Linked DNA regions of Alligator mississippiensis. The protein of the gene in region 4 interacts with the protein of the main gene of each other region in a pairwise test. Links are inferred from orthologs where the notes say so. Each region holds a gene or a part of one and is shown on either strand. Other genes may lie near its edges. The genes, in order: BYSL, ENKD1, PSMA1 and CCDC102B.

The links.
Region 1: the proteins of CCDC102B (region 4) and BYSL interact in binary tests that used the Homo sapiens proteins (3 or more experiments, as listed by UniProt). The two-hybrid records come from large-scale screens. The link is inferred for Alligator mississippiensis from reciprocal best matches to the Homo sapiens genes CCDC102B and BYSL.
Region 2: the proteins of CCDC102B (region 4) and ENKD1 interact in binary tests that used the Homo sapiens proteins (3 or more experiments, as listed by UniProt). The two-hybrid records come from large-scale screens. The link is inferred for Alligator mississippiensis from reciprocal best matches to the Homo sapiens genes CCDC102B and ENKD1.
Region 3: the proteins of CCDC102B (region 4) and PSMA1 interact in binary tests that used the Homo sapiens proteins (3 or more experiments, as listed by UniProt). The two-hybrid records come from large-scale screens. The link is inferred for Alligator mississippiensis from reciprocal best matches to the Homo sapiens genes CCDC102B and PSMA1.

What each region holds. Positions count from the first base shown.
Region 1 is NC_081837.1:38,994,430-39,002,354, reverse strand, and holds the start of BYSL (bystin), read right to left. Parts: upstream 3,010-7,925; 5' UTR 2,736-3,009; coding exon 2,465-2,735; intron 761-2,464; coding exon 595-760; intron 1-594. Other genes in the region: MED20 (mediator of RNA polymerase II transcription subunit 20), read left to right, coding at 3,296-3,309, 4,895-5,049. UniProt on the Homo sapiens protein: Required for processing of 20S pre-rRNA precursor and biogenesis of 40S ribosomal subunits. May be required for trophinin-dependent regulation of cell adhesion during implantation of human embryos.
Region 2 is NC_081833.1:34,730,916-34,737,741, reverse strand, and holds the start of ENKD1 (enkurin domain-containing protein 1), read right to left. Parts: upstream 3,008-6,826; 5' UTR 2,903-3,007; intron 2,519-2,902; exon of another isoform or gene 409-2,518; intron 364-408; exon of another isoform or gene 1-363. UniProt on the Homo sapiens protein: Microtubule-binding protein which regulates microtubule organization and stability. Promotes the stability of astral microtubules and facilitates the proper orientation of the mitotic spindle.
Region 3 is NC_081825.1:195,497,270-195,505,035, forward strand, and holds the start of PSMA1 (proteasome subunit alpha type-1), read left to right. Parts: upstream 1-4,750; 5' UTR 4,751-4,840; coding exon 4,841-4,843; intron 4,844-6,356; coding exon 6,357-6,401; intron 6,402-7,766. UniProt on the Homo sapiens protein: Component of the 20S core proteasome complex involved in the proteolytic degradation of most intracellular proteins. This complex plays numerous essential roles within the cell by associating with different regulatory particles.
Region 4 is NC_081826.1:103,259,887-103,267,332, reverse strand, and holds the start of CCDC102B (coiled-coil domain-containing protein 102B), read right to left. Parts: upstream 3,020-7,446; 5' UTR 2,918-3,019; intron 1-2,917. UniProt on the Homo sapiens protein: During interphase, forms fibers at the proximal ends of centrioles to maintain centrosome cohesion. During mitosis, dissociates from the centrosome following phosphorylation to allow centrosome separation. Contributes to CROCC/rootletin filament formation.

The DNA.
Region 1 (7,925 bases), on a different chromosome or scaffold from region 4:
CCTGCCACAAACAGAGGCTACACATCTCACAACAAGCTGACCACCCCTGCTCTAGTGCACTGAGCCCCAGACTAGGTTTCAGGAGACGCCAGTTCTAGTCTAAGATCTGCCACAGGGCTACTGTGGACCATGGACAAGTCAGTTCCTGAATCTGTACTTGTTTCCCCCTCTATGCTTTACATGTCTTAACTTTTCAGACTGCCAGATCTTGGGGCTGGGACTGCCTACTGCCCAATAACAACTGGGCCCTGATCTCAGGTACTGCACACAGTATTTAGGAACAGGGAGTTTGTGCCACACATGCATCAGTTCTCGAAAATGGAGTACTATCTGCTGCTTGGCACCCAGAAAGGGGCCATCAGGACTCCTGGGCTCTGTTCCTAGCCCTCCCTCAGACTTCCTTTATGAGCTTGAACAAGACAATTCTCCATGCCTCAGTTTCCCCAACGACAGGTGGGGAACAGCACTTTAGGCAGCCACCCCCATCCATGCGCTTCCATGAAATGTTAACCCTATTCCAGTGCCGCATGGTGGCAGAAGATACTGCCCGCTGCTCAGAAGTGCCACACTGCAGCTCAGAGGCTCATCTTCTACCTTAGCGGTGGATTCGTGTTCATGAACATCTCGATGGCTCTCTCATCCTCAGGGTTCACTGTCACCTCTTCACAATACTCCTCCTTCTCCATGGATGTGGCTTTCTCCAGTGTGGGCCACTCGTCATCGTCCTCTGCATCGGAATCCCCATCGCGAGATGCAGATCCTAAACCAAACAAGGCACGGTTAGGCTTGGACAAATTGGAAAACTAAGCACCTCTGTGCTGTACCAGTTAGCTCTCCATACCATAGTCTCTCATCACCTCTTCTATAGTGATGAGTAGTTTGAGAGGTCAATGTGAAGAAGTCCAATAGCCCAAGCGGATGGGCACCAGAGACTGCCAGGCCTTGGCTGAAGACACAGTGAGGACTGCCACCCACATTTGATTAAACAGAGCACATCTGAACCGCAACATCATTATTGAGAGAGACCCTGCCAATCTGAAGTTCTAATGATTTGAGTTATAAGCAGCTCCCAGTCCTACCTCTGCACCCGCGTTCCCCCTGCTTTTCTTGTAGCTTTGCAATAGCACTGCCCTATTTTTAAACACTTTTTTTACCCCCCAAACCTTGTTTGAGGATGGATGCCCACAGACACAGGGAAAGCTGCCTCAGGGGCTGAGCTTACAGGTCCATGCATTCACACACACCTTTGACATCACACATGAGAGCAGTCCCATCAACTTTAATATACAAGATATAATATTTCTCTTTGGTCTTTCAGTTAGCTTAGATGTTCCAGGTAACAGCAAATAAAAGGTTTTCAGATTTCCCATGTCCGAGGATTACTTTAGGTTGACAGGTGCTGCTCTGAGCAGGGGCCTGGATTAGATGACCTCCTGAGGTCCCTTTCAACTTTAATGTTCTATGATTCTATACTTTTTAATGGCCACATATACATGAAGCAAGTTCCCAAGGTAGAATCTAAATAATTTCTTTCCAGTGCTCTTTGTCAGTATTTGCAGTGAACGTGGTTTGTCCCACAGCTACAGCATCCTGGCCTAGCAACGGCCCTAGTCCAAAACATCACTAGTATGACAGAAAGACATCCATTCAGCTCAATCTGCTAGGTTTGACCGCACAGCAATACCATCTACAGTGACAAAAACAGGCTGACGTGCTAGCTAAGCAGTAGCATGTATGCAGGCTGCTACAGAGCTTGGCTAGAAGGGAGTCTGACGTAGGGAACGATCTCTATTGTAGCAGGAGTACTGAGGGGTGTCCGGTCCATGTCTGACCTTCCCTACTCCCTGTTTATGTTATTAAAATGGAACATAAAACCACAGCTCACCCCTTTTGTCTTTAAGGAGCATACTTGATCAATCAATCCCAGTGGGAATTCATCCCATCCCTGCCCTAGGTCAGCTGCTGTTTATCAATAGACAGGAACAACCTACGGTGATTTAGGGCAGGGAGAATTTCACGTTCAAGGACCCAGGGAATAAAGCCAGGGACTGGACATCAAGAAGCAGGGATTCAGTCCTGACTTTCTTGCAGGACTTCTCTACTTCTGCAGTGTGCTGCTCGGAAGACAAGACCCACAGGGGGCTGAGACCTGCGTTTGTGGGAAGACTAAAATGTCTTTCCTGCCAGAGCAGAGCGGGCTGGACCCGATGATCCCACGAGGTCCCTTCCAGCCCTAAACGTCTCTGGAAGGTGATCAGACACTATAGGGAGAGAGCATGGATCAAAAGGGATGAGAAGGCAGGTGTGGGACAGCGCGGGGTGGTGTAGGGTTTGCCCTCCTCTCCCCTGGAAGGCAGAACCGTGCCCCTGCCAGCGCCACGACCTGCCCTCGGGGCTCAGGGTGGGGGGGATCGAAGGGGATCGGGTTGACATCTCTTCTCAGCTACTCCCCCGCCCCGCTCACCCAACACCGTGGTCTTCCTCGGCGGCTCGGCTCCCCGGCCCGGGCAGTGCTCGGCCTCCAGCTCCTCCTGCTGGATCCGCGCCTGCTCCAGGATCTTTCGCGACAGCTTCTCATCCACATACTCGTCCTCCGCCTCCGCGGCCGCGCCGCGCTTCTTCGTCCTCCGGCTGGGCCGCACCGCCTGGCCCTGCAGGATCTGCTCGGCCAGAGGCAGGCTCCGCACCGCCTCCCCCGGCCCCGCGCTCCCCTTGGCCCGCTTGGCCTTCGGCATGGCGATCCGCGCACACGTGGGCGGAGGGGAGCAACGCGGCGCGCAGGCGCGGATGGAACGTTGCGACTCTCAACGTTCCGACCATTGCGACAGGCGTGTCCGAACGTTCGCTCTTAAAGGCGCCGCCGCCCAATTTTTACTTTCTTTTCTTTTTTCATTCTTTTTTTTTTTTTTTTTTTACAAGGGGCAGACGGGGCTGATGTGTGTAGGCCAGAGCTGGGACGGGTGTGAGCTACTGAACCGCGTGTGAAGGGCAGCTGCTCGTCTGTCCGCTGCCCACGTGCCCCCGGATCAGCGGCGGAGGAACCCGCGCTTGCCCGCATCAGCAGCGGGTTGCCCCTGTCTCCTGCCCCCCCTCCATCCCCTCCCAGCGTCGTAGCTCGGCCTCCCCACCCACTTCTGGCCGCCTGACATCATTTCCTACTCGGCTTCCCACCCCTTCCAGCGGGAGAGGACGGGGCTGGGCTAGAAACTCCGCTTCCTGCTCGGGAGAGGCGGTCCCCGCGCCTGCAAAGAGGATCCCGAGTAGGCAGGGGCTGGCCGGGAGCGCTGGGCCCAGCATGGGGGTCACCTGGTAGGGCCCCGGATGTGTGCGGGCTGGGGGGAGGCTTGCAGGGAGCAAAGGGGCGAGGGCAGGTGAGATCCCCCCATGGGGGGAGGGGTGCAGGCTGAGCTGCCCCTCAATGCACAGGGGTCTGAAGATCCAGGCCCCACTCAGCACCCGCCTGCGGTACCACCACCGGGAGCAGGCGGTGAGGAGTGGGATGAGGCCCCTGGTGAGCAAGGGGCTGGGAGGTAGACAGGGTTGAGAGGAACTGACAAGAGATCAGGCTGGATCAAGCCAGGTCAGCGTCGCAGCTGCAAATACAGGGCTGTGATGGCACCAGGCGTCAGGGGCACGGAGGTGCCGCTGTATCAGAACAGAGACGCAGGGTCCCCTTGGCAAAAAGGCAAAATGGCCTTGGGGACAAAGTCGTGCTCTGGGTGTCTGCTGTTGTCACCGGAACAGGGCAGACGCCGGGTGCGAAGCAGTCCTGCCTGGCCGAGGCTTCTTCCTTGCGATGCTCGTCCTATGTTTATAGGGGCGGCAGGAATGGCATCGGGCTGTCGCTGTGGCACTTTGTGCAGGGCAAATAACCATTGTCTGTAGGGCTTTCTGGGTTGTGGAGAACAGCAGGGTTGACATGGAGTGGACTGAAAATGCCAGACGTGGGGCTTTTGGGTGTGCCTGCCTGCTCTTGGAAGCGAGGGTTTCTTCTGTGGACCTGTCTCTAACCTGAGACAGGACGTCTTTGTAAAAGACCCGCTATCTAGCTCAGGGCTTTGTACTCACGGAGCAGTCCATCCTCCATTTCTCTCGCAAGCTAGCAGTGCAGGTTTATCATCAAACGTTTCACTGGAAGCATGAGAAAAGTATGTGGGACCTAGCAGTGTGTGTGGCCCACCGGCAGACCCCATGCCAAGGCCTCACAGCCCCTAGTTTGGGAACTGCTGCTGTCGTTCAGCAAGGTAGAAGTTACCGGGTAAGGTTCTGTGACCTGTGTTGCATAAAAAGCCAGATTACATGATCACAGCGGTCCTTTTACAGCCTTTAGAGGTGTTTGTTACATTTGCTAGTCGTGTTTAGTACTGTAATGCTTCAGGCACAAACATGAACAAGGCACTGAGTAGCATCGTCCTTGCCCTGAGAAGCCGAGAGCAGCAGTTCTCATTCTTTTTAGACTCAAGGCATCCCTGGATAAATTAGAGGTGCCCGTTAGAAAGTGCCGCCTCTTAGTTTTCATTTCTTGAACATGGGAAAATAATAGAGCAGTTTTTCCAATGTAAAGCACTCAGAAAGCCCTCAGCCATGGAAGTCTGTTTGAAATCTTTGGGTTTGTATAACCAACTGTGCTAACATTATGTGGAAGGATCTCAGGGTACCCCAGGGTACCCTGGCACCCTGGTTGAGAATCACTAGTGTGAGCGGATAAGATAGATGAAAGTAATGCTGACAGTACCGTCCAAATGCTTTACAAAGCAAATGGTCATCACGTGTCGGCTTTTAATCTCTGTTCTAGATGCAAAACGCTGTTGTCTGGCTGTATTGCATTCTGCCTTGGTTAAGGTGTCTCGGTATCTATGGTTATTGACTCTTTTCTGTAACTCCTCTTCGATAGTGTATCTCAGATGCCAGTGGCAGAGGGGAAGAGTGTCCAACAGACGGTTGAAATCCTGACAAGGAAACTGGAGCTGCTCGGAGCAGAGAAACAAGGAACGTTTTGTGTCGACTGTGAGACCTACCACACAGCTGCCTCCACCATGGGCAACCAAGGTCAGCCTGTCGTTTCGCTATCTGAGTGAAATGCTTTGCAGAGAACCTTATATTGGCTGCAGTAGCTGGTAGCTCTGGTTGGGTTGAACTCTGCTCTCGTAATGAGTTAAATTATTGTCCTCTTATTGTTCTAGCTGGGAGTGCTAAAGCCAGCTCTGAGGCCTCTTCTTTCTCCTGTTTATACCTTTCTTCTCTCCAGTCGTCTCCCCAGCATGGTGCTACTGAACTGGATTGAACTAGCGGTAGGAAGGAAGAGCTGGTCAGACAAGCCCGGTCTATGCTGTATAATCTTGCTAGCGGGATTCAGTTCTACCTCCTGTAAGCATGCCCCCACTCAAAGCTGCTATGTGGAATCAAAATCTTTTTCTTTTGCCGGCAGAGTGAATTCATCTCTTGGGCAGACAGAAGGCTGCTATTTAACAGCTAACAAAGGCTTATATGGACAGGTCTGTACCACCTTCTGGCTGCTGTGGTCCCATTAGCATAGGGCTGAGCAAAATTGTGGATCCAGCTGGTGGCTGGACTCCATTACCCAGCAGCAGTGGCATCCTGACAGCGCGGGGCCAGGGTTTCCATGGAGACTGGCCCCAGCAGCGCTGGCAGAGCACATGGCTGGGCAGGGAGCTATTCCGGGGCTGGGATCTTTCAGCAGTGACAGCGTGGTCCAGAGCCAGGGCAGAGCCGCGATCTGCTGCCTGCACGCCCCTGCCCAGGGCATAAGGGCAGCAGGTCATAGTTTTGTCCCAGCCCTGGACCACGCTGTCGCTGGCTCAAGATCCTGGCCCCGGAGCAGCTCCCTACCCAGCCCCGCTCTCTGCCAGCGCTGCTGGGGCCAGTTTCCGTGGAAACCCTGGCCCCATGCTGTCACAGTCCTGCCCTGCCGGGGTCTCCATGGAAACTGGCTGCAGTGATGCAGGCAGGGGCTGCTGGGAAATGAAGTCTGCCGCAGGCTTGATCCACCAGACTTTGCCTGCCCCAGCTTTAGCAGCTATGTCCCCACAATGTGGGCCATTCTGATAGGGCTGATGGCATGGAGCTCTGCTTTCACTCTTGTGGCTGTTGACTCCTGGTAAAACTTTTGCCCTCCAGGTAGGAGAGAGACCTGAGGTCTGTTCTCTGACCTGGGTGTGATTCTGGGTGAGGTATGGTTAATCTTTGTGCCTCTGTGGTTTTTTCCCCCACTTCTAAAATGAAATAGCAATCCTGACCCACCTCATATGGGGTTGGAGGATTCAATTCCAGGTTGGAAACACTTTAGGAGCCTTAGAAGACAGGTGATTGTAAATGCATGGTATTGTTCACTTCTCTACAGAGTTGTTATTGCAGAGCTAGGGTGCCTCACACCTTCCAGAATGCATCTGTACTTAAACCTGGGAAAACCAGGAAATGCAGAGCTAAGGACATGTCTGCCGTGCCTCACAGCCTGTCTCTTCTGGCTGGCAAGACCTCCTGGGGTATACTGCAATTATGCTTCAGGCACAGCTGCTCTACAATAAGCAGATGCAGGGAATGTGTAAATGTGCCACATTATACTCTCCCGTTTATCTGCATGCATCACCCTTGCTCTCCCTTGGGCCAGGGACAGCTGTATTTGCTGCCACAGGGATGGCTTACAGCTGCATTGAGATCATAGACTTTTCCTTCTTGTGCTGAGAATCACGGAGGTGTGAAGTGACCTCATTCATCAAAACAAGTTCTTAAATAACTGGAGTTGAATACAACCTGGGCCGAGGTGTGAATTGATCCATTCATCACTGTTCTCCTTCTCCCTTCCACTGTCTGCCCCAGGGCTTGTTGTAGAATACCAGTTTTTAAGACAGTCTTACTAGATATGTGGTTTTAGAGCAACTTCATTCAAATCAACTTAGAGCAGGGGTGTTTGACCCCCTGGTCTGTAGACCAGTTCTGGCCTGTGGAGGCATGTCATTCAGCCCACAAAGTTCCCCACAGGTCCAGGTTTCTGGGTTTTTGGTTGTAGCCGTGTTGGTCCAAGGACCTAGGTAGGCAAGGTTCTTTGAGTAGATGTGATATCTTTTATTAGACCAACTGAGTAGTTGGAAAAAAGTTCTTGGCAAGCTTTTGGGCATAGTCTCCCTTCGTCAGGCAGAGACTCCCTATACTTAACAAAGGGTGATTGCGCCCAAAAGCTTGCCAAGAACTTTTTTCCAACTACTCCGTTGGCCTAATAAAATATATCACATCTACCCAAAGAACCTTGCCCACGGGTCCAAAAATTTGGTGGTGGGGGAGCAACCCTGCTGCCAAATTTCCAGACCCTTGAGGAGCCCTGTGGGCTGGATAGTGTGGCCCTGCGTGCTAGATCAGGTGTGTAGGGCAGGGGAGGCAGTATGGCAGCCAATTCGGGTGCATAGGGCCAAGGGGAGGTGGCACAGAGCCCAGACCAGGCACCCAGGGCCCATTCTGGCCCACAGACCCACTCCACGTGACTCACCTGGCCCATGTGGCCAAAAGATTGAGCACTGCTGACTCAGAGAGGCTATATCTGAGGTATCCCTGGACTCCAGCCTGCACCACTAACACTACCCACAGGCCTGGTGCCCCCCAGCAATAACATCCCGGGCTGGCAGTGCCGTCTCAGCTAAGGTTACAGAATTTCCATTTTAACTGGAGTGAAAAAGATTTGCAAATAAACGTCTTTTGGGCTAGAACATCATTTTCTAGAGGTTTGTTGCAGTGTGTGCACTGCTCGTTTTTTTTCCTAGAGGAGTTTATGGTGCGCAGGGGTCAACCATTGCGGTTTGTGATGACTTTTTAAAAAACGCACCACATGACTAAAATGCTTCCAGTATCAGACATTGCCTTTGAAGCTGGCCTTTTTCCCCTGTCCAAAAAAACTAAAGGGGTTTGAGGAGAGA
Region 2 (6,826 bases), on a different chromosome or scaffold from region 4:
TTAATGTGTACATTCCCCTTGGCCCACACTGCAGATAGGAACAGGATAGACTGACACTCTCCATGGGTCCCAAAGCAAATGAGAAGCTCCTGGTAGCCACAGAGACTGCAAACCATATTCTGTTCCCAGAGGGTCTCCTCTGCCTTGCCCTCAAACATCAGCCTTCAAGGCCTGTTTACTCTCCTGCCTCTCTGCTGACAGAGGGGCCAATTAACACCAGTTATGCTGGTGACTTGTGTGTTCAGGTCTTTTCCCTATACACTGGGCTGGCCTTCACACACAAACTGTTAGGAGCAAAGGTAGCTCATATGCTCTTTCCAAGAGGCAGAATACCCTTCAGCAATAGCCCAGAACACAAGGCAAATGGGACTTTCATCTGGGATACCAGGCAGGGACCAAGACCGATACCTGTTTAAAGAGAGGGTGAGGATGTAGGTGTGACCTTCCTAACGCTCCAAGGACAAGGGAGTTGTGTTCCTGGGCCAGAACAGGCAGGACAGCACAGCACAGGCTTGGCCACAGCATAGCAAGCAGCCTCCCTCTGCTCTGCCCCAAGGATCCTTCCCATGCAGAGATTGTGGGACCCAGCATACAGCTCTCCACTAGATCAGATGCTACAGATTCCAACATATGCTTTGTCTTCATCTGTCCACTGGCCGCATCTCAAACAGAAATGAGGGGAGGGGTTGGCTTTTTGTGGGTTCCCATTGCAGCTCCCCACTGAGGACCAAAGATAGCATTTCTCAGGGCCCTTTTATCTCACAGACAAGGAAAGGAAGGAAGCAGCCAGAGGATTCAACCTCTGGAGCATCGTTCACAGCCTAAATGACTAGCACTTGTCCCATGCAGCTCAGACAAGCTGGACATTACACAGGTGTGATTATCTCCACTCCAGACATTCAGGGTGCAAGAAACGTACATCTACTGAAGTCCTGAAAGGCTAAAACCCTGCCACTGGAGAGATCAGCCAGATGCCCTACACCAGGGTCATCAAACACGGCCCATGGGCCGGATCTGGCCCATGGAGCCACAAAAGATTCAGCCTGCGAGTCTCCAATTAACCCTGCATGCAGCACATGGAGCCAGTCCAGTGTGAGGGGTAGATCCAACACTGCAGGCACTGTTTGCAGCACAGGGGGTCAGTTCAGGGCATGAGTTGTATAAGGTATCCTTGCTGGGCCAACCCTGTGCACTAGCTTTGGGACCAGTCTGGATCAGGTTGTGCTGGAGCCAGCAGGACAGGCTATTCAGCAGGGTACCACATGCAGCTCAAGCCCTGTGCTAGCCCCCAGTGCAAGAAGCAGCACCCATGGCACTGGGTCTAGCCCATACACCATATGCCAGCCCCACTCCAAAGACTGTGTTACCTCTGGTGAGCCAGATAGACAGCACCAGAGGTACTGCTTGCCACACAGAGCTGGTATGGGGCATGTACTGCACACAGCCCTGCACACAGATAGCCTGGAGCCCAATCCTGATTAGCCTCAGAGCCAGAGTTCAGGGCCAGTCCACTGGGATGCAGCTTTATACCGTGAGCCAGTCCCCAAGGCAACAGGCAGCACCCACAGTGCCTGATCCAGCCCATGTACAGCCTCCAGCAGCATAACCCCTGGAGCAAGACTAACTGACACTAACTACAATACAAGGGCTGCTCCAGCACAAGGAATGTGCTGCATGTGACACCCCACCAGACCAGTCCTGCCCACTGGCCCCATACTGCTAGATCTAGCACATAGACCAGCCCAGGCCCAACTGGGCAGGTTAAGTGTAATTAGGTTGCAATCTGTCCCTGAGACTGAACTCTTAGCCAAGTACCAGCACTGCCACAATGCCCCTGAGGTGTTCCAGCAAACTGCATTAGAAACATTTAGTTGCTTCAGCTAACCTCTGAGGCTTCCTCTACAAGGCTCAGAGTTCATGAACACCCCAACAGGCCCACAGCTGCACTGGCCAGCTAAAACCAGGAGGAACCAGCTATACATTTTCACGTGACCATTTGATGCAAGTGAAAACCGAGCAAACGTTCATACTTGCCCTCTCCCAGCACCGGGCGCTAATGGATTCCTAAGGTACAACTGCTCACTGGTACAGGATCTCTACCCACCAGTATCCACCACCTTTCCAAAACACCCAGAAGCTGGGGATCTAACCACTCCTGCCCATAAAGATCCTATTTCATCCTCTGAAGGTCAGATGCTAGCCCCAGCTCTAGTCACAGTCTCTGCTGTTCCAGGCTCTCTGCCGGGCTGTGCCCTGTGCAATTTCACTTCCTGCCCTCAACTGGTGCTGTCAAATAGCTGCCCTAAACTGCCCCATTTCAGCATTATACTCCCTGCTGCTGTCTGTGCAGTGCTTTGAGGTGCTGGCAGAGGACAGATGCTGTAAAAACCGAAGCTGTCTCCACTCTGTTGTGCTGCTCCCCTGGCTGCAGCACCTACAGGAGTCACGGCACGCTTCTGAATGCCAGGAGGGAGCCAGGGAGAGGCAGCCGCAAGCGCAGCCAGGGCGGCTCCCCCGGCCTTTCTCCTTTAATTACTGTATAACACGCTGCTCAACTCAGCCTCCGCTCCCGCCGCCTTTGCCGCCGCCCGCCCCGCCCCGCCCCGCCCCACCGGGGAGGCCGCTGAAGCCGGCTGGTTCCGCCCACCCCGTCCCGCTGCCCCAAAGCAGTCGGTGCTCAGCGCCCCCGACCCCCGCCCCTGGGCCCCGCCGGCGGAGCCGAGGGGCGCGGGGAGCACGGCCCGGCCCGGCCCGGCCCACCGAGGACGGGGCCTGACGCAACCCCAACAGGCGGGCGGGCCTGGCCTGGCCTGGCCTAGCCTGACGCGACCCCCCGGCTCGCCGCCGCCGCCGCCACCCCCACAGCAGGACGCGCCCGGGGCCGGGAGAGCCGCGCACGCACCTGCCGAGAGCGGGCGGACAAGGCGGAGCAGCCCCACGCAGCCCTCACCAGGCAACCGGCCCTTCCGGCGCCGCGGGGGCTGCTGGGAGATGGAGTCCGGCCGGGCTCCACCGCCGCGCATGCGCAGCTAGGCCCGTGGGGGGCTCGACCCCAGCTCGCGGCCCCTACAGTTCCCCCCGCCCCGCCCGGGGGCCTGGCGGCGCGGCGCGGTGCGGCGCGGCTCTGTTCAGGCAGCGCCGAGGGGTCGAGCGGCCTCAGGGCCTTTATCAGCTCCTCGGGTCCTGCTGATATCTCCCTTCCGCACGTGTTAGTTAGTGCCCCCCTCTCTCCTCTTCAAAGGTCTCGAGGTTCTTCTGTTGAAATGCTTCTTTCTCCTGTGCCGCGATGGCAGCCCGTCCCACCTGTCCCAGCTTTGCAGCCTCTGCTTGGGCTTTAGCTCTGGCCACAAAGCAGAAGTGGGGCATAGACACGACTGCCCCGACCTACCGAGACACTGTTGTCGAGAGGCCCAAGGTGCTAGCTTTTAACAACTCTTGAGTAAATGAGACGTACAGTCAGTGTGACAACAACCAAACTAACAGCGCAGCATCTTTGCCCTCATGTCTAGTTTGTTGTCTTTTTATTAACATAATACATAACCGAGCAAACTAATGGACATTCCAATAGTGATATTTGTTCTTGCTTCCGTTTTAAACTGAATACTACAGTGCCAACCCACGGCACTAGCTTCTTGTTAACCAGAGAAAAATGTGTGCTGTATTGCACATGACAATGAGCCATGCCACCTTTTCAAAATCCCAGATCCATCTGTGGCCACCTGCACCGTGGCAGCTGGCACTGCCAGCCTGCTACACAGCTGCTTACTGAGACCCCTTCTGAACCCATAAAGGAAGCAAGGTGCCAGGGTGATCAAAGGGATGTGTATGTGTAGCCTACTTTTCCTTGCTTTACACCAGAAAGGAGTGACCTGGTTGAGGATATGTGGCATTGCAGCAGGGGAGGGAAGGCACCTGCTCCTTGAACATGGTATTGTCCTTAGGGTGGAAAGGAACCAAATCAGGACAAAAGTCTTATTTCAGGGAAAGTAAAAACTGCTACCATAACATACAGTAGCCAGAACTACCTGCGACTGTTAACACTGAGTGCTGGGCAGCAGATAAACAACCTAACAATCTTTAGGGTGCCAATGACTTTGTGCATAAGAGTACTTTAGAGGGGGGTACTAGTCTTACCCTCCGTGGAGGAAATGCCACCTAAAAGTTGTGGAACTGAAGTCCAATCCATTATAGGGTAGACTGGGCTCTTTAATTCTGATCAGCAGCCAGTCTAGGAGTGAAGCCCCAATAGATGGACAAAATGAGTAGCTATGATGCGGATTTTTTCACAGTAAGGTGGGTGAAAAACTGGCTTATGGGACGCACCCAGAGAGTGGTGGTGGATAAGGCGGTTTCTCTCTGGAGAGATGTGAGCAGTGGTGTTCCCCAAGGCTCTGTCCTTGGACCAGTGCTGTTCAATATCTTCATCAGTGATTCGGATGAGGAGATTGAAAGCATTCTGTCCAAATTTGCAGACAACACCAAACTACGGGGCTTAGTAAATACACTGGAGGGCAGGGAGCGAATCCAGGCAGATTTGGATAGACTGGGGAAGTGGGCACATCAGAATAGGATGCAGTTTAACAAGGATAAGTGCAAGGTGCTACATCTGGGGAGCGAGAATCTCCAATACACCTATAGACTGGGGGATACCATTCTGAGTACCACGACAGTGGAAAGGGATCTTGGAGTCTTGGTTGATGCAAAAATGAACATGAGTTGCCAGTGTGATGAGGTAATAAGTAAGGCTAACCACACTCTTGCATTATCAGGTGCATCACGAGCAGGTCTAGGGAGGTGATGCTTCCTCTCCATGCGGCATTGGTCAGGCCACAGCTGGAGTACTGCATCCAGTTTCGGGTGCCGCACTTCAGGAAGGATGTGGATAACTTTGAGAGGATTCAGAGAAGGGCAGCTCGCATGGTTGAGGGCCTGTGTGTAAGATCCTATGAAGACAGACTGAGGGACCTGAACCTCTTCAGCCTCCGAAAGAGAAGGCTGAGAGGTGATCTCGTGGCTGTCTACAAACTCATCATGGCGGGTCAGCAGGGAATAGGGGATACTTTGTTTACCAGGGTACCCCTCGGGGTTACTAGAAATAATGGCCACAAACTAAAGGAGAGTAGATTTGGATTGGATATCAGGAAGAAATTATTTACGGTGAGGGTTACCAAAATACGGAATGGGCTTCCAAGGGAGGTGGTGCTGTCCCCTACCTTGGAGGTGTCCAAGAAAAGACTGGACAAGCACCTAGCTGGGGTTCTTTGACCCCAGCGCTCTTTCCTGCCTAAAGCAGGGGGTTGGACTCGACGATCTACAAGGTCCCTTCCAACCCTAGAAATCTATGAAAACCCACTCTCTGGATGTTCTCCTTTGCTCCTTTGGATTAAACCAGCAAGGCTGAGAGGGGGACACTGGTGTGCAGACAGCTCAGTGTCTCCATAATCACTGCCCAAGCTTTTGCACCCTGGAGGGGTCACTCCAGTTTTACTTTATTTTCAAGTGAGGATTACCTTCAGCAAGCTGATGTTCCACTCGGCATAATTCTATTGCTTTGCAAGATAGATGCCTACTAAAAACAGACACTGCATTTGAGTTGCATTCTGATTGACCAGTGTCAAAAACTGGGAGTGGTATAGCCCTTTACACTTGCAGTCTGGTAACTAAAATTCACTAAATCATGCTGGGGAAAAATATTCTCAGGCTTGTCCCTTGGATGAGCCAGGATTGTTCTGGGGAAAAGTTATCTCAGATACTTCACAGTTACTTAAAGTTGAATAATGGGCTTGTAATTCTGTAGGATCTGAGGATCTCAAAAAGGCTTTGTCCTTGAAGAAATCTGATTTCTGTGGGGAAAAACAGGTGTCATGTTTATCCCAGGAGAAATCTTTTTATTCTACAGGTGTACAAGCCCATGGTCCCACTTCTAAGTACCTGCAGTGTATCTGAAATAACATTTTTTTGCCTGAGCAGTCATGGCTAATTCAAGTTAATTGTCATCAGCTGCAAGCCTGGGATAATCAGAAACAGGATAAATCAGTTTTTACCTGAAGTCATCAGGGATGCTAAGGCACAGCCCCAAAATTTGGAAGTCTTCTGCCACATTCAGGATGGTTGGTTGCATTGAGACTGTCAAAAACATTGTAACAGGAGAAATATCCCCCCTCCTCCAGCCTCCTGTTCCTCTGGTCTTTGCAGGGTCTTTTGTTTATGAGTAAGTCCTGCCGACACATTTTAAGGCCTCTGTCACATATTTATGGCTTGATAGCTCTGAGGCTAACTATATGCTCAGGATACAACCACAGGAGAAAAACTGCAACCTTTACTGAAGAACATTTAAATGGATACAGAGGATGAACAGATTTTGATTTTTGCCTGCAAGGGGACTCCAATCAGGCAGGGTTAGAGGCCCTGAAATCCCATTCCCAGTTAAACTGCAGTAGCTCAGGAGGTATCAGCTCTCCAGCCACAGCAAATTATAGCAGGAAACAAAAGGCAAGAGGCTCATTTGCAGCAAGTCCAGATTGTGTGACTGGAACTTGAGTGATTCTTGATGTTCACAACAGGCTGTGACTGTTCTGCAACCAGCTTCCTATGAGATCCCATGTGATTAACTCACAGCACGTGCCAATATCTCTGGCTTTTCAGGATCAAATGCTCTGATACTAGCTTCTATTTTCCCCTGGGAGGTTATTTGCAGAGGAATTAATGACACTTGGGCCCACAAATCAGGCCTTAATTGTTGATGCAGTCTTAGCTGCCCTGCAATTCTGGTGGCATTTTTGTGCTTAAGATCATTTGTACACACACAACTACAGGTGTAAAAACT
Region 3 (7,766 bases), on a different chromosome or scaffold from region 4:
ATCGCTGCTGTGATAGACAATGTAATGTGAGATGTTGTTGCTTGATAACTTCAGAGGGAAAATGGTTTATTGTTAAAAATAAACACACTACAAGAGGGGAATGATGATAAAAATATTTTGAGAGACAACCTGATTCTAGGAGCACACCATTTTAAAAATAAAGATAAACAGCACTGATTTAATAAGCCAGCTTTTCTATGTAATAATTGCCACCTAGCAAAAGACAGGGAAACTATACTTGGGAGCAAGTTCTTGTTAAGGAGAAATGATGAACTGATCAAATTTGCAGTTACTTTTTGTTGTAATGGAAGATGTTCCTGTCAGATATCATAAGCCCTATGATAGGGGTTTTCAACCTTTTTTGGTTGGGGTACCCCCGGTGGCCAGTCGAGAGGCAGGGAGTCCCCCAGTGGTCAGTTGATGTGCTGGGGCGGGGAGGGTGTCCCCTGGTGCAGCGCACACCAGCAATCCTGGAAGTGCCAGCGGTGAAACCGGAAGTGCTGGTGGCTTCTCCAAGCTGCTGCTGCTGCTTACCCCCTATTGAAAACCCCTGGCCTATGATATAGGTAGGAGAAAAGGAGGCATTAGAAGAGGAAATATGGCCAAGTCTTTTATTACAACGCAGCAATATTTTGTGTAGTCCTCCTTCAGAGGGGTAAACTCAGTGGAAGCAAGCAAACAACATGATTCTGGGGAAACATGGATTGAATGCACAAATCACAGTTTTAGGACAGAAAGTTTCAGTACATGAAGCAGACATAATGTTGTCTCTTAAAGGTGCCAGGTGTCATGTTAAAAGTCTATATAGCAAGACCACAAGAAAGCTTGGCATGTCAAATAAGCACTCTTCCATCTCATCACTACTTTCTAATATAAACAAAACACTTAAGCTATTTTCCTTTATATTTAAACTGCTGTTGACACACCTCCTGAGTCCATGGAGATGTACAGCACTTCTGTGGAGGGCTTGATTGTCTGCAGTGGAGACCAGGCATCTAAAATGGAATCCCTCCCTTAGAAGTATGGTAATTCTGGCCTTGGGAAAGCTTGACCCTGTTCCTTTGAAATTCACTCCACGCCTTGGACTGGCAGCCTGAGAGGGCATAAATTGATATTGCACAATGCCAGCAAACCAGGTTGCTATTTTACCAAGAATCTTATGTTTTAATAGAGCTGCCAGCTTTTGGAGACAAATAGTTATGTGAGAATCTAGCCCCACATTGAAGCACTCTTGTGCCCCACCAGCTCCTATGCAACACTAAGCCAGGTGGAGCAGCCCCAGGCTGTGGCAGGCTTCTCATGGGCCCCCTTCCAGCTGGGGCCGTTCTGACCCAGCTCAATGTGCTGCACTCCCAGAAACACTTGCAGACGCAGCACCCAGGAGCAATAAACTCTGGAGCAATAAGCTCCAGAGTTTATTCAAAAGCAATAATAGCATGTGTAGACATGCCCACTTTGCAATTTATCATGATTTCTGAAGACTAATAAGAGTGATTTTCAACCAGGGTGCCTTGAGATCCTTTCAGAGGTGATGTGGGATGTCATGCAATTTTAGCACCGTTAAGTGTGCAAACATGAAATATGAGATATACCCAACCATTTCAAACAAAAATCCACAGGGTTACGAACATTCTGGCTTATTGTGGTCTTTCTGATTGCTTTGCAATAGAAAAAAATTGTATTATTTTTCCATATTCAAAAAATGAGTAAAAACCCACAGCTGACAGTTTCTGACAGGTGCCTTGAGCTTAAAAAGGCTGAGAGCCACTGGACCAACCACTTTGGAGCACTTGGGGTTTGCAATGCTACAAAGAAGACATACAGCTGTGGAACCAGGGAGGATGCACTGGTGCAGTTGCACCCCACTTTGTTTACTGCTCTACCCAAAATTTTAAACCAATTCCTGGCAGTGACAGCAACATTTCTGTTCAGGCAGCAGTGGGAGCATCAACTGAATTCATGGCTCATTAAAATCTACCTGAGTCTGTCTCATTCAAGAGTTCTTCATTCCACAGGTGTTAATGACCTTCTCTCCTTTTTTAATGGTCTTGATGTTCTGCGAATCAAGCTATCCTTTCTTCTGCAATTCTGCTATTTGTTATCTGCTCCTGGTAATGTAGCTCCTATTTCACAGCTGTGCAGATTGTTTTAAGCACACTCCAGTGAACTTATATTTGTTTTTGCTTTGATGTTAAACTGAATAATATAGTCTTAAGCCCCTAGCATACTAGTAAGGCTTCTAGTTTCTTTATACATTGCAAAAAATATGTGCTTTGTTATATGGGATGATGCACTACATCATTTGCATTTAGCTTTTCAAAACTGTACATCTGCCCATGGAAACACATTAATGATAAGCACTGAAAACAAACCCTCTACAAAGATAAGCAAATACTACAGAACAGAGATGGTCAGAAGAAAGGCTTGATAAAAAACCCCCCAGAACACTAACATTTATTGGATCAGACCAAGTGTTCAGCTTGCTCAGTATCCTGCATCAAAGTGACCAGGAAAGAGTCTCTGGGTGGGAAGACTCCCAGGAACTGCGGGGCCATTTTTCTGTCTCTGGTCTGTTCGCATCTCTGGGCAGAGTTTCACTCTGGGCAGTGCTGAACTCATTCAAAGACCAGCGGGCACCATCTGGTGCTCTATGCTCAGCATGCCCCCACCTTGGTACACTCATTTTGAACTTCTGACCTTCACTTCTGACTCTGTTTTGTCTTTTAGTTGTCCCATGCAATAAGTGATGCGATTAGTGCGCTCCCTCAGCAACGGCGGGGGGGCTTATAGGTCTATTTGGTGGGCTCTGGCCCATGTTCTAGAATGGCATATCAAAAGGTCTGGGTCACACAGTGGTAGAGAGTGGATGCTGAAAGGGAAAGTGAACAAGGTACGACGAGGAACAGTGGAAAAACCCTTTTCTCATTTGCAGTCTCCAGCATTTAAGGTCTAAGAAGTTCTAATTTAGAGGCTGTATCCTTAACACCTATGCTTAGTAGCCACTGATGCCCCTTTCCTCCAAGAATCTGTCTGATCCTTTTTTTGAATCTGGTTACAGTCAGCTTCCACCATATCTGGTAGCAAGGATGTCCACACTTGAATGACATCCTGTGTGAAAAAGAACTTCCTTTGTTTAGTTTTAAACTTTGTTAACACTGGTTCTTCTCTTGTGTGAGACAGGAAATGATAAATCCTTATTTACTTCCTCATCATCATTTATTATGTTGTCAACCTTTCTCATGTCTCCCCTCAAGCATCTTTCCTCTGAACAGAATGGGCCTAACCTCTCTAGTCTCTCCTCACGTGGAAGCCCCTTCATACAGGTAATTATTCTTGTTGCCTTCTTGTGGACCATCTTTAATTCTTCTACACCCTTTTTGAGCCATGGGGGATGAGAACCTGGCACAACGTTCAAGGTGTGGCCACACCTCAGATGTATAAAAGCACATGAGGCTACTTTCTGTTTAGTTTAAAGTTCTTTTCTGAAAAATCTCTAGCATTTTGTTTGCTTTCTGGACAGCTGCTGAAGTGAGCTGCTCTGGGAGCTATGAAGGTGGATGAGGATACAGTGTCTTCACTCATGAGGAATCAGAACTCGTGGCAGAGGGGATATCTTTTATTAGACCAACTAGGTATTTGTAAAAAAAAATTATTTGCAACCTTTCAGGCACAGGCACTCTTCTTCAGGCATAGGAAACAGCAAAGACTGTAAAAGTTCTCCTAGGTAGAGATGAAAATTCATATTTCACAGGAAAGCTGAAGGTGTGATAAAAATCTCCTGTTTGGACAGTTCCTTTTATGCAGATTAGGCTCAGAGAAGTTGGAACAGTCTCTTTACCTCAAAGCTGTCTGGTGGCCAGCAGGATGTAGTCATATTTCCTTCTGGTTATGATGTTTCATATTTCACAGAAGAGTAGAAAGACAGAATACTTTTCTGGGCAGGAATTTCTTTTGTGGTGAGGTATCTCTAGGCTCTGTGAAAATGCAAATTACCTGGAACAAAGGCAGGAGCAGGGTGTCAGGTTTCAAGTGGGAAAACTTGCTTCTTTCTTGTAAAATTATTGTTTTCATTTGAAAAATCAGCTGAAATTCGTTATCTTTCATGTGTCAGGTATCCAGGTAGCAGCCATAGGGGTCTAGAGGCAAAAGGATTCCTGGATACAATACAACCTGGATACCTTTGGTCATGTGAGCACACACAACCCACCCTCCTGGGTGTCCTGCTTCACTTGCACTGGGCTTTACTGCAGTCCACCTATTGGAAAGAAAGAGGGGGAGAAGGTTTCAAGCGATGCTTCCCTGGCCCATGCTCAGGGGAGGGCCCCTCCTCCCTCCCGCCCCGCACGCTGCAACTTCCTTTTGAACTCGAAAGCTTGCTTAATAACTATTCTCCAACTACTTGGGTCGGTCTAATAAAAGATATCAAATTCACCCAAGGAACCTTGTTTGCTTATTAGAAGACTTTCTCATTAGCTAGACCCACTAGCCCTTCCACTCTGCGCACGCGCTGCTCTTGCAGGAGACCCCCCCTTACCCGCCCCTTCACTCTGCACGCGCTGCTCTTGCAGGAGACCCCCCTCCCCTTACCCGCCCCTTCACTCTGCGCACGCGCTGCTCTTGCGGGGGACTTCTTCCTCTCCAGTAAGCTGCAACCTCCTCTCCCCTCTGCGCATGCGTTCGCCTTGCAGGCCAGTCCCCCACAAGTCTCTGATCGATGATTCCTCCAGCGCTTGGCCCGGCCTGGGGAGGTGGTGGAAGTTGCCAGTCCAGACCTGTCGCTCGCTGAGCAGTGCTCGCAGCTGGCTGCCGGGGAGCTCACGCCGCAGTCGCGGGAAGAAAGATGGTGAGAGTCGGGCCCGGGGCCAGGGCCAGGGCCAGGGCCGGAGCAGGGCAGAGGGGGCGGGCGCGGGGCCGGGGGTCCGAGGCGCGCCCTCAGGCCGGGCCGGTGGGGGAGGGGCCGTGAGTAAGCACTTCCTCGTAGCACGTGAGGCCAGGCCAGGCCGGGCCTGGCCAGGGTGGGAGGGCAGGGCAGCTGCTGCCACCCCCCCCGCCAGCGCCTCCCGGCGGAGCGAGCCCAGCCCTGTGCCTGCTTTTGCTTTCGGGCCCGGCCTCGAGGCCCCCCCCCGCGTGCCGACGGGGCGGGAGCGGCTCCTCTGCAGTCCCGCGCGGCGCCCGGAGCCCTGTGGCGGCGCATGCCACCCCCCTTGTACCGCTGCGGTCCCCGGGGACCTGGTGCCCCGGGGCTGCAGCTGCCCCGCAGCCCCTCCCCTCGGGGGAGTGATGGGAGCCGAGGACTCCACCCCTCACACAAATAAAAGAAAAAACAGGTCTTTTTCATAGTCACAGACAGTGAGGGTTGGTAGGAGGTCATCTAGTCCCACCCCCCTGCTCAAGGCAGGACCAGCCCCAACTAGGTCATGCCAGCCAAGGCCTTGTCTAGCTGGGCCTTAAAACCTCCAAAGATAGAGAGTCCAGCACTTCTCTGGGTAGCCTGTTCCAGTGCTTTGCTACTATCTTCTTGAGAGTTTTTCCTGATATCTAACCTAAACTTCCCTTGCTTCCATTTAAGACCATTGCTCCTTGTTCTGTCATGTGCCACCACTGAGAACAGTCTCTTTCAAACCCCGCTTCAGGTAGTTGAAGGCTGCTATTAAATCTCCTCTCAGTCTTGTCTTCTCTAGACTAAAATAAGCCCAGTTCTCTCAGCCTCTCCTCAGAAGTCATGTGCCCCAGCCCTCAAACCATTTTCGTTGCCCTACACTGGACTCGCTCCAGTTTGTCTACATCCTTTCTCTAGCAGGCAGCCCAAAACAGTGCTCCAGGTGTGGCCTCACTGGTGCTGAATAAAGGGGAATAATCATTTCCCTCCATCTGTTGGCAACACTGTTACAGAGGCAGCCCAGTATGCCAGTAGCCTTCTTGGCAACAAGGGCTCAGTGCTGGCTCATATTCAGCTTATTGTCTACTGTAACCCCCAGGTCCTTTTTTGCAGAGCTGCTGGTTAGGATGTGTAGATGATGTAATGCTTATATTAGTGCTGAGAGAATCATACACTGCTTTTCCTTCAGCTGTTTGCTGCTTGGGCAAAGAAAAGACTTCATTGTGTAAGTGGGGTAGTGGTGCCTCTACAGTTGAATGCTTTACTGCTTCATAATTTCCTGTCACCTTAGTGCTTTAGTTTGGATGCAAGTTCACCAATCAAGTTAAACGTGCTACTTATCTGTCACTGTTTATCAAATGAGCATATTTCTGTCTAATTCTGGTTTCAGGTTAAAGAAAATGTTTTTAATATAATAGACATTTTTTTTCCTATCTGCATATATTCATACTAACAAGTTTTAATATATTCATTTCAGTTTCGCAACCAGTATGATAACGATGTTACAGTTTGGAGCCCTCAGGTAAAAAGATTTCAATTATGGTTATTTGCTTCCCATTTTTACTGGTTTCCTTTTTCTCTCTTGATGACAATTGCATCCAGGCATTCAGTGTCCAGCCCCTTTAGGATAGCTTGAAGAGTATGACAAGCTGATGTTGCTCCTTGAATGACTTTTGGGTGTTCTAAAGCACAGTATGAATAGGGCTGCCTATCACAGGTACTATATATCTACTTTTCCCATCCCTGCAGTATTTAAATCTCTCTCAAAATCCCAGGAACACCCCAGGAAAGTAAGTGAGTTATTAGAATCCGTGTTTTGCAAAGGGCACATAAGCTTCAGAGATGCTAAATGATGCATCCATGGTCACCCAGGAATTCTTGAGGAACAAGGAATTTAACCCATTTCTCCTTGGTTTTAGGTGTGTCCTCTAATGACTGGACTATTCTTCAGGTGTTTGCCCTAAAATACCAGAGGGCTCTTAAATTTACAGTTCCAAGAATAATGTCAATAACATTTTATTACAAGCTTTTTTTGTTATGTCATTATTAATTGGTGTTTTGCTTGTGTGCAGAGCATAAAGAATAATTAACATGTCTGCACAGGTCTGTTTGGCTCTCTAGGTGGATTACAGCAGGGGAGCTATTTCCTCTTCTGATTCAAAAAATGATATTTTTTTTTTTGTAATACTGATTAGTTACTTTATTGCATCTTCAACATTTAAATGGGTGTCTTTCCCCATTGTAGTACTCAAACACTAAAAACTATTTTTGTCGTTGAAACATGTAATTATGTAAATATAGAATAGTTTACATGGCAGCTATATTTGATTTTGCATGTTGTATGAAGTATTTATGAATCAAGAGCTAGAGTATGTAAATGATTTGAGATCTTGCCTTTCTGTAATACGGTTTATTCTACACTCCTCCAATATATTTTGCACAGTGCCAGTTTTTAGTTTTCCAAATACAAATATATTCTGGAACCTGCCCTGCACACTACGTGGAGTAGCACTCCATGTAATCATAGAAGCTTCATAATGGCACCATAGTTAAGCTTGTATTGAGATTTGCATTTATATTAAGAAATAAATTTGTCTATAGTCATTTGTCTATGACTTCAGAATGAGCGTTCTGAAAAATACATTGTACTCCATCTAGGGCACAGCCTCTTCGTGGGTGAACAGTGTAAACAGTGCCCCTTAACCACAGGGACAGTATGGGCTAAGTGCTTCATTAAGCCTGGCTATCTTGTTTCTCAGGCCTTCTGCTTCTAATGACAGCCCTGAACTTGACAGAACTAGTTATTTAGAAGACTTTAAATAGATGGCTACTAGTCAGTTTCACCAATTATGTTGTTACAGAGTGCAACTATATTACAAACTAGCCC
Region 4 (7,446 bases):
CCGTGCACTTCACCCATGGCATGTCTCAGCTTGGTCGTAGAGGGAAGTGGTAGTAGGAGCATCTGGGTACTAGCACTGGTCCAGCTTTACCAAGAGCTGGGTCTTTCCACAACCAAATAATGTTTGCAACCCCTGGCTTAGAACAATATGGAAAAACCTAAGAGCAGTAAGGATTTCCTATTACAGGATATGCAGTTAGGTCAAGGGATCAATTAAACCCTTATAAATTTATAGTGGCAGTGTTATATTGGTATTGCTATTTAAAGTATTCAGTGAAACAGAAATTGCTGGGCTAGGGAAGGAAGCAAGTAAAAGCAAAGGACATGAACCAGAGGCCAAGATAATGAAGGAAGAATGAGGCTTAAAACTTAAAGAAATAATGACATCAGAAGATAAAACCTTAAATTTCTATGTATCCATTTCTATGGATCCTTCTTGAAAAAGTGTGCACGTGTCTGCATGTTTAAATTTTGAAGGACCTGCCCAGATTCTTCTGTTCTTTTTAACCACTTTTCCATAACATATATAGTTTCAAGTAAAGATAGTAAAATACATCTCTGCTACCATCATAGAAATTTTCCTCTACAGAATGGATATATACCCAGCAGGTTTAACTTAAACCAGGCATATGCAGATTTATGGTTAGGTAAGTCATGTTGTTTAGTCCACTCTGTGGACCATTTTATATAGAAGTAATCATGGCAGTGTCAGTCAGAAAGGTGTCACAGCTCTGCTGTTAATCAGAGCTGAGAGAAAAAAAGTGAAAACAAAAAATAAAAACTCAAACCACAGCTCTCTCTAACCATACAGCTAGCAGAGGTACATAACTGCCTGTTCCCCCCCCCCCCCCTCCCAATATGAATCTTTTAGCATATAGCTCCCTCTTCTGGTGCTGGGAAAATTCAAGTTTGTTTTGTTTGTTTTTGTTTTTAATCTAGTCGGTTAAAATAAATGAAACCAAATTCAACATATTCACAAAATGAAGTCTACAAATTACAGGACAGCCTGTTTATAAAGAGATATGAAAGGATCCAATGATTTATAACAGACTTTTTTTTGTCAAGTCCTTCTGTCACTATTATTAAATTGTACTAACCTGCCAGCTGTTTTTCATTTATTTCTAGTGATCAATAACCATTTTATTCAGGAAAAGGGGCAAGTATAAAATGCAATATTTAAATGGAAGAGGATACATGCTTGTTGCAGTAGTTCTACTGGACAACTCAAAGAAAAACAGAAAATATAGGAACCATGAAACAAGATTGTACTAGAATATTTTTTGTGGAGAGCAGCTGCCATTAAAAACTTGCTATTGGCCAGCAGTGCTTTACAACCACCTCTGAAACTTCTGTGTGGCAACAGTCTCACTGTGACCTCTGTGTGCAACAAAAGTAGGGCAGGTTTCTTGCTGTGTTATGTGAAATGCTGAAGAATACATGCAGGTCTTAACAATAATGACTAATCAATTTACTAATCTGATTATTCAACTAGCAGATTAGGATAAACAAGATGGAGCCTTTGAGTCTTTTAATTTATTCTGATTTACAAAAATCAATAGCAATGCTTTGATTGTACTAGCAGCTGGATTAGGGCCCATGTATGTTGATAAATCATTTCTTTTACAAATCTGAAATTAAGAGCATAACTTTTTTATATTTTTAAGGGAAATATCAGGCTGAATTTAACAAATGCAAAAAAAGCAAGCAAGATTAGGTTCAAGGACTGAAATGTCATGCCTAAACTCCTACAGAATTCAATGGAATGTTTGAGTGCATGAGACAGAATTGGCCCAATTAATAATACTTAGCTTTTATATAATGTTTTGCATCTTCAGTGCACTGGCAAATAATTGCAGCAGAAATCTATGAAGATGCAAAATAAACAATATTCTGACATGCTTAACAGAACAAGGCTGATTTATAGAAACACTGATGATGTGGGGAACTGTAATGAAATTAGTGAGAATGGAAAGACAGGTCATTACTATTTTTAAAAAAAGAACAAAAACTCTGTTATAACTATTTGCTATGTGTTTATTAGACTGTTCTACATCATTTGGTGAATTTGGAGCTCTGGCTAGGGATAGGTCTACATATTCCACATATTCACATTCCATCTGGGAATCCACCCCTTCAAAGAGTGGACAAATTATATATCTTTCTGTAGTGCCAGCCTATTACATTACACTTGTGCAATAAAACTAAGCAAAAGACTAACACTGTTTTTTCCCTTAGTCCATAATCATGCCTGCACTCAAGTATTTTTCAGAAGGAAATTAAGATAACTATCACTATCTACATTGTTGAAATTAGAAATTCTTTCTGACCACAAAACTTCCTGCTAACAATAACAGAAATTTATGAGCACGGCAGCAAAACTCAAACAATACTATACTCCAGAGACAAAGTTCTGTACAGTACAGTATGAGGTTGTGGAAAATGACCAAAACATCACCACCTCTTCCTATTGCAATAGAAAATAAAGCAAGTTTTGATTCTTTTATACATACACGTATACACACCAAGACAGTAGAAGCTTTCAAATAATACATATTTACACTCATTTTTCAGAAGTTATCATCACTTATAAAAATCTAAAGCACTTAACATATTCTGAAGATTTTAAAATCTTCCCTGATTAGTCTAGATAAGCAAACACTATATCTAAGTAGTCAAAGTATAGTTTACATATCTGGATAAACTTTACCGAGCGGAGGCAAATTGGAAAGGAAAGGAAAGGAAAGTTCAAACTAGTTGTGTACTCAAAAATTACATTTCTTTTCAGACATATTATCTTTTCAGGTGGTATGCACATCTGCTGTTCTACAGCTTCACCCTGGGTATGACAACAACTTCTATCCCAACAGGAACATTAAAAAATTAAATCATAAACTCGCAAGCATATTAAATCCCCTTACCCTCAGGCTTGCTGGGCTGCTCTCGCTTCTCAGTGTTACAGACATATGTGTAAACAACAGAATTTCCTGCATCCTTTTCTCATCTGCAGAGCACTGGGGTCTTGGCCAACAGGATTATTCGCAGCATTAAGGCCATTCCACAGTAACTTGAAAAACAATTCCCATTGGTCAGGATTTATCAAAACTAATGCCACAACATTTTTTTTAAATACAGGTCATTCACTCAAAATTAAAACTGTGCTTATTATTGTTTACTAAACATTGCTTCTCTTTGTGTTTCTAACCCTTCTTTCATTGTCGGTTATAAATTATGACCCCAATTTGTTCAAAGATTTCAGAATATTCTAATCTAAGTGTACCATTGACTTCAATGATTCATTTCAGAATTAGCATCTTCAAATGAAACAAGGCCACTTATTTATTTTGGTGTCTTTCAGATTTAAAAAAGAATAACCTTGGGGATGGAAAAAATCCCTCTTACATTTTTGTATAGCAGTGTTTGTGAACCCCCATGCCCCACATATCCACCACCTGCCCCACACAGTGGGGGGCTGGGGTGTGAGGGGCACTGGGTTGGGACTGGCCATTAATGTTTACAAATGGGTCCTGATACAAAAAAAGGTTGAGAACCACTGCTGTATAGTACTAGCACACCTTGGGTTTTCCTGTGACAAACAAACTACTTATTAAGGCTGCAAAACAACAAAGACTTGTGATATACTACATCAGTAGTAATCAACCTCCAGGCCATTGGCCAGACCTGGCTCATGAGGTCATGTCATGCAGCCCATGAATCTCCCCATGGGTCCAAGAATTTGGTGGCAGAGGAGCAGTGGCAGCATTAATTGCTGCTCCCCTGTTGCCAAATTTCTGGAACCTCTAAGCACTGGTGGAGTTGGAACTCTTAGGGGCATAAAGTCAGACATGTATGTGATGTAACAGGTCATGAGTCTCTTGAGAAACTTAATATTTGAAGTTTTTAATTTAAAAAGAAAACTCCACACATGCACCCTGAAAAATCCCATGATTTCAGGGCCTAGGTTGTGCCATAATTCAATAACTTTGTTATAAAGCCTAAAACCCCTAGCCTAAAACTCCCTAACCACAGATTTAGGATCCATTCTTGTATGTCATGTAATAAGACATGGTAGTGCTAGAGACATGTGGTAACTGTAATGGTCCAGGAGTTATGTGAGAGGCAAGGACTTTTTTATGTGATATATTTTATTGGACCAGCTCCTTTATTTGGAATTAGATAAGCCTTTAAATGCAAAGCATTTTTCTTCAGGTCTGAAGAAGAAAGCAAGCACAGAAATTGTTAGGCACAGTGGGTAGATCTATGAAATTAGAGAGGGAGAGAAATTCCCAGGGGTAGCAGACAAAGAATTAGCAGAAGAAAAGAAGATCAATTGATGGGAGATCAAGACCTTTCAAGAGGAAAAGGGTCATTATCACCTGTAGTGTGTAGGAATAATTTCAGGAATCAGGTAGATTATAGTGTGTTATAAAATCAATATTGGTGTTCAGTCCTCAGTTCCTAGTGTCCAGCCAGCTTATGAATTTCTGTTCCCAAGCTCACCTTTTAAAGGTTTTTGGTAGATATCCCTTGAGCAGGAGAATAGTGAGGTCAAAAAGGAAGTGCTTGTTCTATAAAACATGTGCTCCTTATCAACATGTGTGTGTCTGTGTCCTTTATACTGCTTCCCGTGAAGGTTCACTCTGGTCTGGGACAGACATTGCCTAAACCAGTTTGAGCCAAATCAGTTAAGTCTGATACTACGTTCAACCAGGTTTATCTCAAACCGGATTCAGCCATTTTCAAACTGGTTTATGTGCACTGAACATCTGTTGTGTTACAAATTTAAACAAGTTTCTGATCGTTTAAACCGGTGTGTGTGTAATGTCTGTCCCTAGACTCCAATGCATAGCTGTTGATTAGTTTCATCCATGTAATTTCCATGAGGGCATCTGGTACATTGAATCAGAAATGTAATTTTGGGAAAATATGTCTCTCCATGAATTCTGAATTGTTTGTTGTGGCGGAGGGGTGTGTTGATTATAGTAGAAGCGGAGATGTGTGTTGACAGTTTAAGCATTTATTGCTAAGGCTGTGTCCCACTTGATGCCTGTTGAACAGTGAGGAGTTTGCCTCTGACAGTGAACTGGGCGAGAACTGGGTTCTCTGAAAGCCAGGAGTGGAGGGGCATGGAATATTTTCCCTAATGTCTCATCTTTGTTGAGCAGAAGCTGTGGTTGTTTCTTGATTCTTCTAATCAGTTCTAGTGTGTGGTGGTAGGTGGCAACAGTGGGGTTTCTTTTTGTATTGTAGCAGGTTACTGCAGAGTATTTCTTTCAAAGGTACAGTCTATTTTGGTACTGTAGGGTCCTTGCATAATGACAGATTTTAGGCTGCCCAAGTAGGAATCACTACTATTTTCCTCGGAGCAGATACAGTAGCACCTGAGGGCTTGACTGTAGCTTATAGCTTCTTTTGCTGGTCTTGTGAACATAAATATGGTTCTCCATGGGGGTTTTTTTTATATATGGTTTCCAACTATCCCCCCTCCATAAAACTTTCTCTGTAATATTCCTACACTAAAATAAATTTTCTTGATGCCACAATCCACATACAGAATGGCACCCTAAAAACCGCAATATCCAAAAAAAAGAGGTACTAGACTATACTGTAGGCACTCCATAATCACTAATGTATTAGGGACAAGCCCCCACACAGTTATGCACATTACTTGAAACATATTGCATGCTATTTCCATGACATAGTTCATGTTTCCAGCACTCACCATAACACGTTTCCTTTGGTCTTTTGTGTCATAACCCAGTGAGTTTGGTGCCTCGGCACTATGGAATTTTCTTGACACACGAGAGTCTCTTGCACAGCGAGGGTTTTTGCTGCATAGAGAGCCCGCGTGCAGGAGAGAGTTCCCGCCACTTTGCAGCTGTTTTTGCAGGATGCATTCTCTTTGCAGCACAGAAATGCATGGTGCAAAGAGTTCCTGCCATTCGGATGTAAATTTGTGCCCCGTAATTGGCTAGTGCTAAATTATTCACACGTGGCGGCCGGTAATTGGCTTGCTGGCCGTTTAAAAACTAGCGCGACTTCCGCCCAAGTCAAAGAGCTTTGAGCACGCTGCAGAGTGCCTCGAAAGAGATCCGACTTGCGGCTAGCTGATCGATAGACTGATCACCTATCGATCCTTCTTCCCGTCGCCGAACGCAGTCCCAGACGTACCCTTTTTCCACCGGCTTGAATTACGGACGAATTTACTGGCATTGGCCTCACCAGCTGAAGCAACTCACATTGTTGTCCAGACGACCAAACCGTTTCCGTCGCAGCCACCCGCGACGTAAGTAAAGTTTTTTACAACCATTAAGCCTTGTCAGCCTCTCCATTCACCAGCCCGCCCTGACGAACGAGCAGTTTTTAAATCACCTCGAGTCGGCTCAGCCCGGCCGAGACATTTTGTAGCTGTGGGGGCCAAGGGGGAATCGAGGATCAGGAGTCCTTGGGAACGCTAGCTGGGGTTGCGGCTGCGATCCCGTGACGGGAAGATGGGTACTCTCTATCACCGGAGCAGAATTAGGCACAAACGAGACATGTATCAATTGGAAAACAGAGGTAGCTTTACTTACACTGTAGAGTCGTATACAGCGCAGGCAATCGTAGTTGCAACAATTCTATTCTCTAATCGGTAATCAAGGAGCTCTTGTAGACAGGGTAGCTCGGGTCTAACTCGGGCATGCAACACGGAGGGTACGTCGCAAGGCTTCGCCGACGGGGAGTCGTTGGCAGGTGATCAAGCTGCCGGAGTTCCACTCCAGGGGGAATCGCAGAGTTCTCCAACTAGGGCGGAAACGCCCCTAACCTTTTATATGGCTAGCGAGCCAATTGCCAGCCGCCACATGGGAATAATTTAACATCAGCCAATCACATTATGCAAATCTGCATTTCCTTGGCGGGAACTCTATCCACGTCGGAACTCTTCACCATGCCAAGACTTCCCCTGCCTTACCGTGCCTTGTGCTAGAAAGTTCCACTGTGTCGAGGCACTGATTCAAATCAGCTCTGACATGCCCCCTTGCCAAAGACACAGTTGGGACTTGAAGCACGTGCACACCATCCAAGTTATCGCTCCTTTTTAAAGATAAATGACTATGTACAAAAGTATACAACGACAGTAGTTTGTCCTCTACGGACCGAACCAAATAATAACCAACACACATACACATCAATATATTGGTTACAAAGAGTTCAGTGACGAGGAGTTCAATAGGTGTCATGGTGGAGTCACACATCAGACGACCTCTGCGTCTCTCTTTCTCTCTCTGGATCCGCTTCTGACATGTATTTTGAACCTTGGGTAGACACTGTAGAAAAAGGAATTCTTAGACACTGTTAATCAACTTATATAACATTATGCATATGGAGAGGTAATCAGATCTCTTTTCTTGGTTCCCCACTCCCCTTCAAGCACGTGACACAGGTGCTTGAACTCGACTCAGCTCCGGAT